Rattus norvegicus: one gene and its partner. Each later gene encodes a partner of the first gene's protein in a complex. Links are inferred from orthologs where the notes say so. Each region holds a gene or a part of one and is shown on either strand. Other genes may lie near its edges.

Evidence for each region.
Region 2: the proteins of Rheb (region 1) and Pde6d are in contact, whole or in part, in a crystal structure (PDB 3T5G), measured with the Homo sapiens proteins. The link is inferred for Rattus norvegicus from reciprocal best matches to the Homo sapiens genes RHEB and PDE6D. Residues at the interface, in NP_005605.1 of Homo sapiens: Pro2, Gln3, Ser4, Gln57, Asp77, Gln176, Gly177, Lys178, Ser179, Ser180, Cys181; in NP_002592.1 of Homo sapiens: Ile53, Leu54, Cys56, Val59, Val80, Gln85, Cys86, Leu87, Glu88, Glu89, Trp90, Ile109, Glu110, Ala111, Ala112, Pro113, Gln116, Met117, Met118, Leu123, Tyr149.

The regions. Positions count from the first base shown.
Region 1 is NC_086022.1:11,011,708-11,016,310, reverse strand, and holds the start of Rheb (GTP-binding protein Rheb), read right to left. Parts: upstream 2,929-4,603; 5' UTR 2,806-2,928; coding exon 2,754-2,805; intron 1-2,753. UniProt on the Homo sapiens protein: Small GTPase that acts as an allosteric activator of the canonical mTORC1 complex, an evolutionarily conserved central nutrient sensor that stimulates anabolic reactions and macromolecule biosynthesis to promote cellular biomass generation and growth.
Region 2 is NC_086027.1:94,640,912-94,644,716, reverse strand, and holds the end of Pde6d (retinal rod rhodopsin-sensitive cGMP 3',5'-cyclic phosphodiesterase subunit delta), read left to right. Parts: intron 1-384; coding exon 385-510; intron 511-1,385; coding exon 1,386-1,491; intron 1,492-3,209; coding exon 3,210-3,291; 3' UTR 3,292-3,785; downstream 3,786-3,805. UniProt on the Homo sapiens protein: Promotes the release of prenylated target proteins from cellular membranes. Modulates the activity of prenylated or palmitoylated Ras family members by regulating their subcellular location.

The DNA of each region.
Region 1 (4,603 bases):
GGAGGAGTCCTCACTACTAAGGACTCCTCAGCTACAGTAACAACCATGTTACCATGAGGAAGCTGCTACATATGACCACCACCAAAATGAACAAAAGGACCTCCATAAAAGCCAGACTAATTACAGGTGACATTGAGGTGACATGTCTGCAAAAATCTTCCCTACTGCAAATACCAGGAAAATACCACAGAAGAGAATTTTACTGTCCCATTTTAAACCCTTTTCATAGGTTTATCAATGTTTCAAAAACAAATGAAGGGGTTGGGGATTTAGCTCAGTGGTAGAGCGCTTGCCTAGGAAGCGCAAGGCCCCGGGTTCGGTCCCCAGCTCCGAAAAAAAAGAACCAAAAAAAACAAAAAACAAAAACAAAACAAAAACAACAACAACAACAAAAAAAAAAAACAAATGAAGACTTGAAAGCCACATTTCAGTGCTTACTGAAGCAAACTTAAAAGTCTGTGGCACGTCCAGTAACAATGCCCAGCAGTATAGTCAAAGCAGAAAACCATTTACTCAAAAGAACAGTATAAAAAGGCATGGTTTTGAATCAATCTCTCTCTCTCTCTCTCTCTCTCTCTCTCTCTCTCTCTCTCTCACACACACACACACACACACACACACACACACACACACCCTAGAAACACTGACATTTCTATACTAGGGCACTGAACATATCTCTTAGGTTCTGAGAAGTGGGTAATCCTGGCAGAGCGGCTAGTGCATGCAATCATGCTGGCAAAAGACCAACCCACTCCTCTGCAAAGAATCCTGAAACTATAAAATATTTCTGTTCATAGGAAAGCAAACTAAAGTCAAAGGAAACATTAGGAGTAACGTAGTATCTTACTTTAGGCATTACCCTTGCAAACAACTATGGAGAAAACAGGCTGTGTGACACATTGGGGGCATTGAAAATAGGCCTACAATCCTGTGCTCCTCCACCAGCTAGCACCACACTTCCAACCAGCAGCCTAGAGTGAACCTTTGTGGGGAGAAGTATAGGAGTAGCCAGGCACACCTATCCCTGCTCTAGTGGGGCTTTCACAGGAAGACCAGTCTAGGCTATACAGTGAGTCCAGGACTACCTGGGTTACATAAGACCTTGCCTAAAAAATCAGGATGGGTTTCTACTGACAGAAGTTCTATAGCCAAGGAGACATAACACCAAACTTATTTAAATCCAGTGCCATTCCAAAAATTACAAGAAAATAAAATCCAGACCTGTAGAATATTCTCACGGATTGATATGCCTTGCACATTCAAGATTACCATCTTCAATTAGTTAACACTCTGTATATTTATCTAATTAGAGGGTACTCAATCAACAGCCAAGTTACATCGTGGTCTCATTCTCCGAATTGGGGGGAAATTAAGAAACAGTCAACAGTATGGTGATCCAGACAACCAGCATCGGTTACCTCAACCAGGAGCTCCATAGTGGTGTTTAGTACATGGTCTCTTAGAGACACTGAAACCGTAATTTTGTGGATGTTAACTCTAGGGTTGCAACTGTTAAAGCAGTCACCTACTCTTTCCTAAGATAAACACCTCACTTAGCACCTTTCCACTCTAGGCACCTTCAACTCTCATACTGTCTCCAATCTTCCAACTCCTTCCTAAGGGGTTTCTCCAGACCTTGAGGAAAGATAGTGAAAGGATGAGTAAGCAGGCCCAGACTGATGTTGGTCAAAGAGCACAGACCCAGACACCAGCAGTGGAAAGCCGGGTGAGAACGCAGAATGAAAAGCCTACAGGAGTCCGTTCAGGGGCAGGCTTTCTACTGGCCACCTCCTTCGGCAACCAAACTCCCCACCTCCCACTCACTTCACCACATGTCAGTTGTCCCTGTCAAGCATACATTTTTCGGAGACAGTTACGGCTTTCAAACAGCACTTAAAGATGAACATGATGTTCTCGGGTTCCGGTCAAAGACAATAAAGCCTCGCCCTGCAACGTGGTCAAGTTCATACGTCCTGTTTCACATAAGAGACTGAATACTACTGTCTCGACACCTTGTACCTTCCCCACTCCACCCAGGCCCACCTCTATTCGGCAAAAAGATGACTACTAGGAGCAGCTTCAAATGTATGTCAATCGCTTGGTGGTGGTGTTGGGAAAACAAAAGGGCTTTTGAATTACTTTAACAGCCTGGTTCAAAGAGCCTGGCCTTGTTTCTTCTCAAAGGGGGAGAAAATAGGACACCGAGAGTTCGGAGATGTCTTTCTCGCCTTCCCTGTGCTGGCCGCCAGCTGCTACCTAGCGGGCCTATGAGGGGTCCAGTCTAGGTTTCTTGGAGGCGGAAAACTTGGTGGCCAAACATCTTGGAAGTTTCTCCGTTTTCTTTTAAAAGGTTTAATTTCTTTACAGATGGAAAGGTCACAGGGAGAGGTTTCCTTTGTTGAAATGCCCGGGGCTTGTGGGATTGGGGAAACGGGTGGGGATAGACCGTGCTCAGAGAAGGCGGGACAGACACGGGGATCCGACTAGACTGCTCCGGGCCGCAGGACCGGTGCAGTGGTCCGCAGCTCCTACGCCTAGAGAAGAACTCAGTCGCCTCGGCCTGCGGCCCCGCCACCTGTCCGTCGCGCCCGGGTACAGGGGAAGGCGCCGCCGCCTCCACTCAAAATGGAGGTTATGAAACGCGCGCCGCCCGCCCGCCCGCCCGCCCGCCACATGGCCGCGCCGCCACAAACTTCGCAGGCGCGTCCACGTCCTGGGGATCAGACCCCGGCATCACCGGGGCCGCCACTCACCCACAGACCGATAGCCCAGGATGGCGATCTTCCGGGACTTGGACTGAGGCATCTTGGTAGCCTGGTCAGCCCCGGCCCAACCACATCAACCGCAGCGGCGGCGACTCCTCCGGCTCAGACTATCGGCGGCGGGTGCGCCGGGGGAACGCGGCATACAGAGCGCGGCGGCGGGCGCGGCTGCCTCTTGCTCGCTCGTTCTCTAGCTCGCTCAACCGCCCGGAACCGAACGCGCGGGCCCTCCCCCAACAACACACCCACGTGACCGCGCGCGGCCGCGTCTGCGCCGCCTCCCGCCACCGCCTCCCAGCCCGGAACGCGCGGGGGTGCGTCGGGGGAACGTTTTACTTTAAAGGGAAAAAGCGGAGACGCCCGAAGGCCCCCGGAAAAGTCACGACCAAAACTCGCTGCGTCATGACCCTCCCACCTACTTCCGCCGCTTTTTAATTACGACAGTCTTTCCCGAGCTCTGACTGGACGGCTTCCAGACTGCCGCGCGATGACGCAATGGAAACTCCATCTTCTATTGGGGATTAGGAGGGGGTGGAGCCAAGGAGAGACACTGTTCAACCGGGAGCTAAAAATACAACCTGGCTGCTTTTGCTACGCGGGGCGCCTGCGTGATCCAAAAGCGTGGCCCTACGGGCGAGTGGGCGGGCGGACAACTCCCCAGTGATTGGCTGATATGGCGTGCGGGGGCGGAACCATAGGCGAGAAGCGCGGTCATTGGTGAAGTGACGAGCCGTTGGCCGACTTGCGCCTGCCGGCCCTTAAAAGGCGTGAGGCGCGTGGCCCTAGCTGACGGGCTGTAGGTTGGCTGTCACCTCTCTTCGTTCTTGTCTATACTTTAAATTACCGTCCTGCTATGTTAGCTTTAGTCTGGGCTTAGTGTGGGTGGTGACTAAGCTTTATTCGTGGCTGAGGAACTGTGGGAAGAATGGAATCTGTGCAGAACGCAAATGTCAGAGATTCCACTAAAAGCAGCGCGAGCTGGCCAGTCCTAGTGCGGACTCGGGCAACACGCTGGGCAGCGCGCACCTCGCATAGAAAGGCGCACTCGTGGGTATCCTGCAGCCAGATCAGCGCGTCTTTTCATACATAACAGTCGAGATGTTATTTCTGGAGAAACGTGAAAGTCAGCCATTGTCAAGAACGCTGAGGAAAAGCAGGCGGCTTCGCTGTCTGGTGTGGGCGGGCCATGCCTGAAAAGGGAAGGCTGTCATATTTTCTGCAACAGGCGTACTGGCACAGAGCCCTTGTTTCCGGAGAACTAGAGGATTGGGATGTCCTCATATTGAAGAACAGGAAGAAAAACTAGTCCCTAGGTCTAGTTCATGAAAGCCCAAGCTAGGCCTGGAAATAAAGGTGCCAAGAGCGTGAACAGCACGCTTGTCCTTAATTTCTTGTCCTTCACAATAGACCTGTTTTTATAAGGTCTCATGTAGTCCAGGCTGGCCTGGAATTCTTAAGAGATCCACCTGCCTCTGCCTCCAAAGTGCTGGGATTAAATGCTGCCCTGCTACCCTTGATCTTTCAATTCTGTCTTTGCCCAAGTGCTCTGATTTCCGGCTTCCAAACCATGTTTATTCAGTGCTAGGAATTGAACCCAGGATGAACGTTAGGGAAGTACTCAGGCAACTGAGCCTTCCCCTTAGAACTATATTAAGTATTTTAAAACAGACTCAGGTAAATGTATATTCAGCAGATAAATCCACCAGTGTTCTTGAGACCAAAGCACTAAATTTCCTGGTGAATGTAACACAGGGTTACCTTAAGGGGGGTGCGGTCAACAAGTTGCATTAGGCAGTAAATGCACTTGATATGCAAGCCTCACAACCTGACTTTGATCCATG
Region 2 (3,805 bases), on another chromosome or scaffold:
TAAAGAAGGCACCAGCAGCCTGCATACAGAGTGGGTGTTCACAGCCTGGACCTGCCAGAAGCGGCTAGGTGAGGCCTGTAGAGACAGCAGATCTGATGCTCCTTGACAACAAGTCATGTACGTTGACCAATTAGAGCTCTCTGCCGTCAGCTGGAACGTAATGCAGTTACCAAGGCATCTAATGAAACCTAATTATTGAGACAAATTCTCTAAGGCAGCTGAAGGAATTCCCAGGATCCTGATGTGTTAATATTCATGGTTCTCATTTAGAAAGATACCAATCTCACTCTCTCCCCGACCTCCTCTCTCTCCCCGACCTCCTCTCCCCCGATATCTCTCTCTCTCTCTCTCTCTCTCTCTCTCTCTCTCTCTCTCTCTCCCCAGCCCGTGTGCCCAAGAAAATTCTCAAGTGCAAGGCAGTGTCTCGAGAACTGAATTTTTCTTCAGCAGAGCAAATGGAAAAATTCCGCCTTGAACAAAAAGTTTTTTTCAAAGGACAATGCCTAGAAGGTATTCTATTCCTCGAGTGCCTGGAGCCGGAGTGCAGGAGGGGGGTAGGAGTAGGGGGGGGGGGCAACAGGCAGGGCAGTGCTCTGAGAACACTGACCTTATTACTAATAGAAGGTCTACAACACTGGGGAACCCCAGTGAAAACGAACCAAAACAAACTGGACACAATGGGGGCTTTGAGCTGTCTGACACCAGAAGCTCGAGTGCCCATGCCCGTGCCCGTGCCCGTGCCCGTGCCTAATGTGCTGTTACAATGTGATCTTGGAAGAAGCAATTACAATGAAGTGTAGTATAGGTCATGCCTATACATCAGAAGTCGTTACTGATAAGGACTCTGAATTCGATTCTCAAAATGTAAGAGAACAACATGTAGGCACTGTAGAGCGACCTACCTCTGTTAGTGCAGAGCTTGCTACTCCTAGGAAAATGATGCTTATGTGTCCTCCTCACTGATGCTTATCTATTAGACCCCATAAGAGACAGTCCTGTGTGCCCTAGGTGTAGTGGTGCACGCCTTTAATCCCAACACTCAGGAGGTAGAAGGAGGTGGATCTCTGTGAGTTTGAGGCCACCCTGGTCCACAAGTGAGTACCAGGACAGCCAGGGCTACACAGAGAAACCCTGTAGAAAGGAAGGAAGGAAGGAAGGAAGGAAGGAAGGAAGGAAGGAAGGAAGGAAGGAAGCCATTCTGTGGCACAAATCAGAAGATAGGCTGTGAATGTCCTGTGTCCTTTTGTGTGCCTTAGGAGCTATCTGATAGGTTCCTGTCATGGTCTGGACAGGAAGAGCCCACATTAATGGAGAGAGACACAGCCTGGGGTTCCCCCGTGCCCACAGATAGCGCCTGCTCACTGGCTTTTCCTTCTTCCCTTCAGAGTGGTTCTTCGAGTTTGGCTTTGTGATCCCTAACTCCACAAACACCTGGCAGTCCTTGATAGAAGCAGCGCCTGAGTCCCAGATGATGCCCGCCAGCGTCCTGACGTGAGTGAGGCCCAGGAGATTTCAAAGTGTATCCCAGAACAGCCTTTAGACAGCAGGGACTCCAGGTCCCACTCGCAGGCAGAGCTGGGAAGAAAGATGAGTAAAAGAGCACCCAGTGGTGTGTCAAGGTCGCTGGCTTCTGTCCTGTGAAAAGTAACGGCCTCAAAAACTGTAGGCCACATTTTAAATTTCCAGGTCACTCTGACTACTTGTCTCCTTGGACAATAATGTCTTATCTTGCCTTGCCTTACTTTCATGGGTATAATGAAGGTGAAAAATGAGACAGTGTGGAAGGGAACTGGCACAAAATAAACAATAACCCACAAAGGGATTAGGTGTGGCCACAATATTCCACTTTATAAGTGGAAGCACTGGGTTGGGGATTTGGCTCAGTGGTAGAGCGCTGGCCTAGCAAGCGCAAGGCCCTGGGTTCGGTCCCCAGCTCTGAAAAAAAAAAAAAAAAATAAGTGGAAGCACTGCTCTGCCATTTATGGCTCAGTGGGAGTGTTCTTGCCTGGCATGCACAGGGCCTACGCTCAGTTTCTGGCACAGCCAGAAAAAGAAAAAGGAAACAGAATGGGCCACTGAGATAACCATATAACCAGAAAAGTAAACCCCGTCCTCACTGTACAGGTGCCTCATTTAAGGCTCTTTGGTTTCAAACAACAGAATCAAATCCTCGGGAATAGAACTATTAGACTAAGCAGAGACCCAAGCAGCTTGGAATGGACAAGGGCAAGAATCCATTATGCCTTCCTCAAGGAGTAACTGAGGAGAGATGTTGGGGGTGTGGGGGTGTGGATCTGATTAGCATGACTAGAATGCTGTGACACCTCACATCTCAGCAGGGTTGTGGGTAGTCACTCAGCTGACCCAGGCACTAGAAGAGAGACTGTTCACAAAGGAAGAGCAGGGTGCCACTACCCAAAATCAGGAGAGTACTGCAGGGCAGGCCACACCCAACTTACTCAGTGTTGTAGGAAAGGCTGCCTTCCTGAGGTCAGCCCAGGATCTGCAGCCATCCATTAGGAAGCAAGCCAGAGGTGTCCATGAGATCTGTAAGCAGAGCACGCCGCAGACATTAGTGCGCCGAGACAAAAGGCACGTTCTTATTTCTGACTTTCTCCATTAGGAGAACAAACAGGAGTTTAACACTGCAAGACTCTAACTCAGATAGACGATACTTTAATTGTATTTGCCTTGCTTTGGTTCTCTTTTTTTTTTTTTTTTTCTTTTTTTCGGAACTGGGGACCGAACCCAGGGCCTTGCGATTGCTAAGCAAGTGCTCTACCACTGAGCTAAATCCCCAACCCCCTGGTTCTCTTTTGAGACAGGGTCTCACTTTGCAGCCCTGGCTGGCCTGGAACTTACCATATAGACCAGGTTGGCCTGGGATCACAGAGATTCGCTTGCCTCTTCCTCTCTAGTGCTGGGACTAACGGTGTGCACCACTGTGCCTGACGTTTGTTCCCCTTGTGAGATAGAACTCACTGTATAGCACAGAGTAACCTTGAACTCAGACCCTCCTGCCTTGGCCTTGGGGAGGGTTATGTGTGTACACCACCACACCTGGTTCTGGACAAGGCCTGTAATGGCCCAAGCTGAGGTTCTAGGTGGACATGTGCCCAGCCCAAAGCACCCAAATGGACACTGACTGTGGACAGGGGGCCTTGGCCTGTGGCACTCACTTTCTTTACCCTCTCGCTTCTCTCCCCCAGGGGCAACGTCATCATAGAGACAAAGTTCTTTGACGATGATCTTCTTGTCAGCACATCCAAAGTGAGGCTTTTCTACGTTTGAGAGAACTTGTGTGCACTTCCAAGAATCTGGAACAGGGGCAGGAGGAAGCTGTACTTGTTCCTCTGCACATTTGATTTTGATACTCCAGCTGATTCCTTCAACACAGAACCCACCTGTGGCACCAGGAAGCCAGCTCTGAAAGGCGGCCAGTCGGCTTTTCTCCCAAACCTCCATCGTCACTGACAAGACTAAACTCCCAACCCCAGCCAAGGGCAGGGAATAAGCCTCAACTCCTTCCTGGTGCAAACATGGGAACAAACCCCGTACTCGGAGCCACACTGCGCCTGTCACCTGCCCTGCCTCCTCCCTTGGGCCCTATAGGCTTTCTTTGGCCTCTGGTTTTGAAAAAAATTTACCTTTCTGACCCATTTAGTTTTTTTCCTACCACTTCTATTTCATACATTCTCATACCTTTAACTTGTAAAATAGACTATGATATTATTATTACATAATGTAATGAAAGCATTAAACTATTCCTACAGTCTTTAGCATGCCACTGTTTCCAACGCTCCTT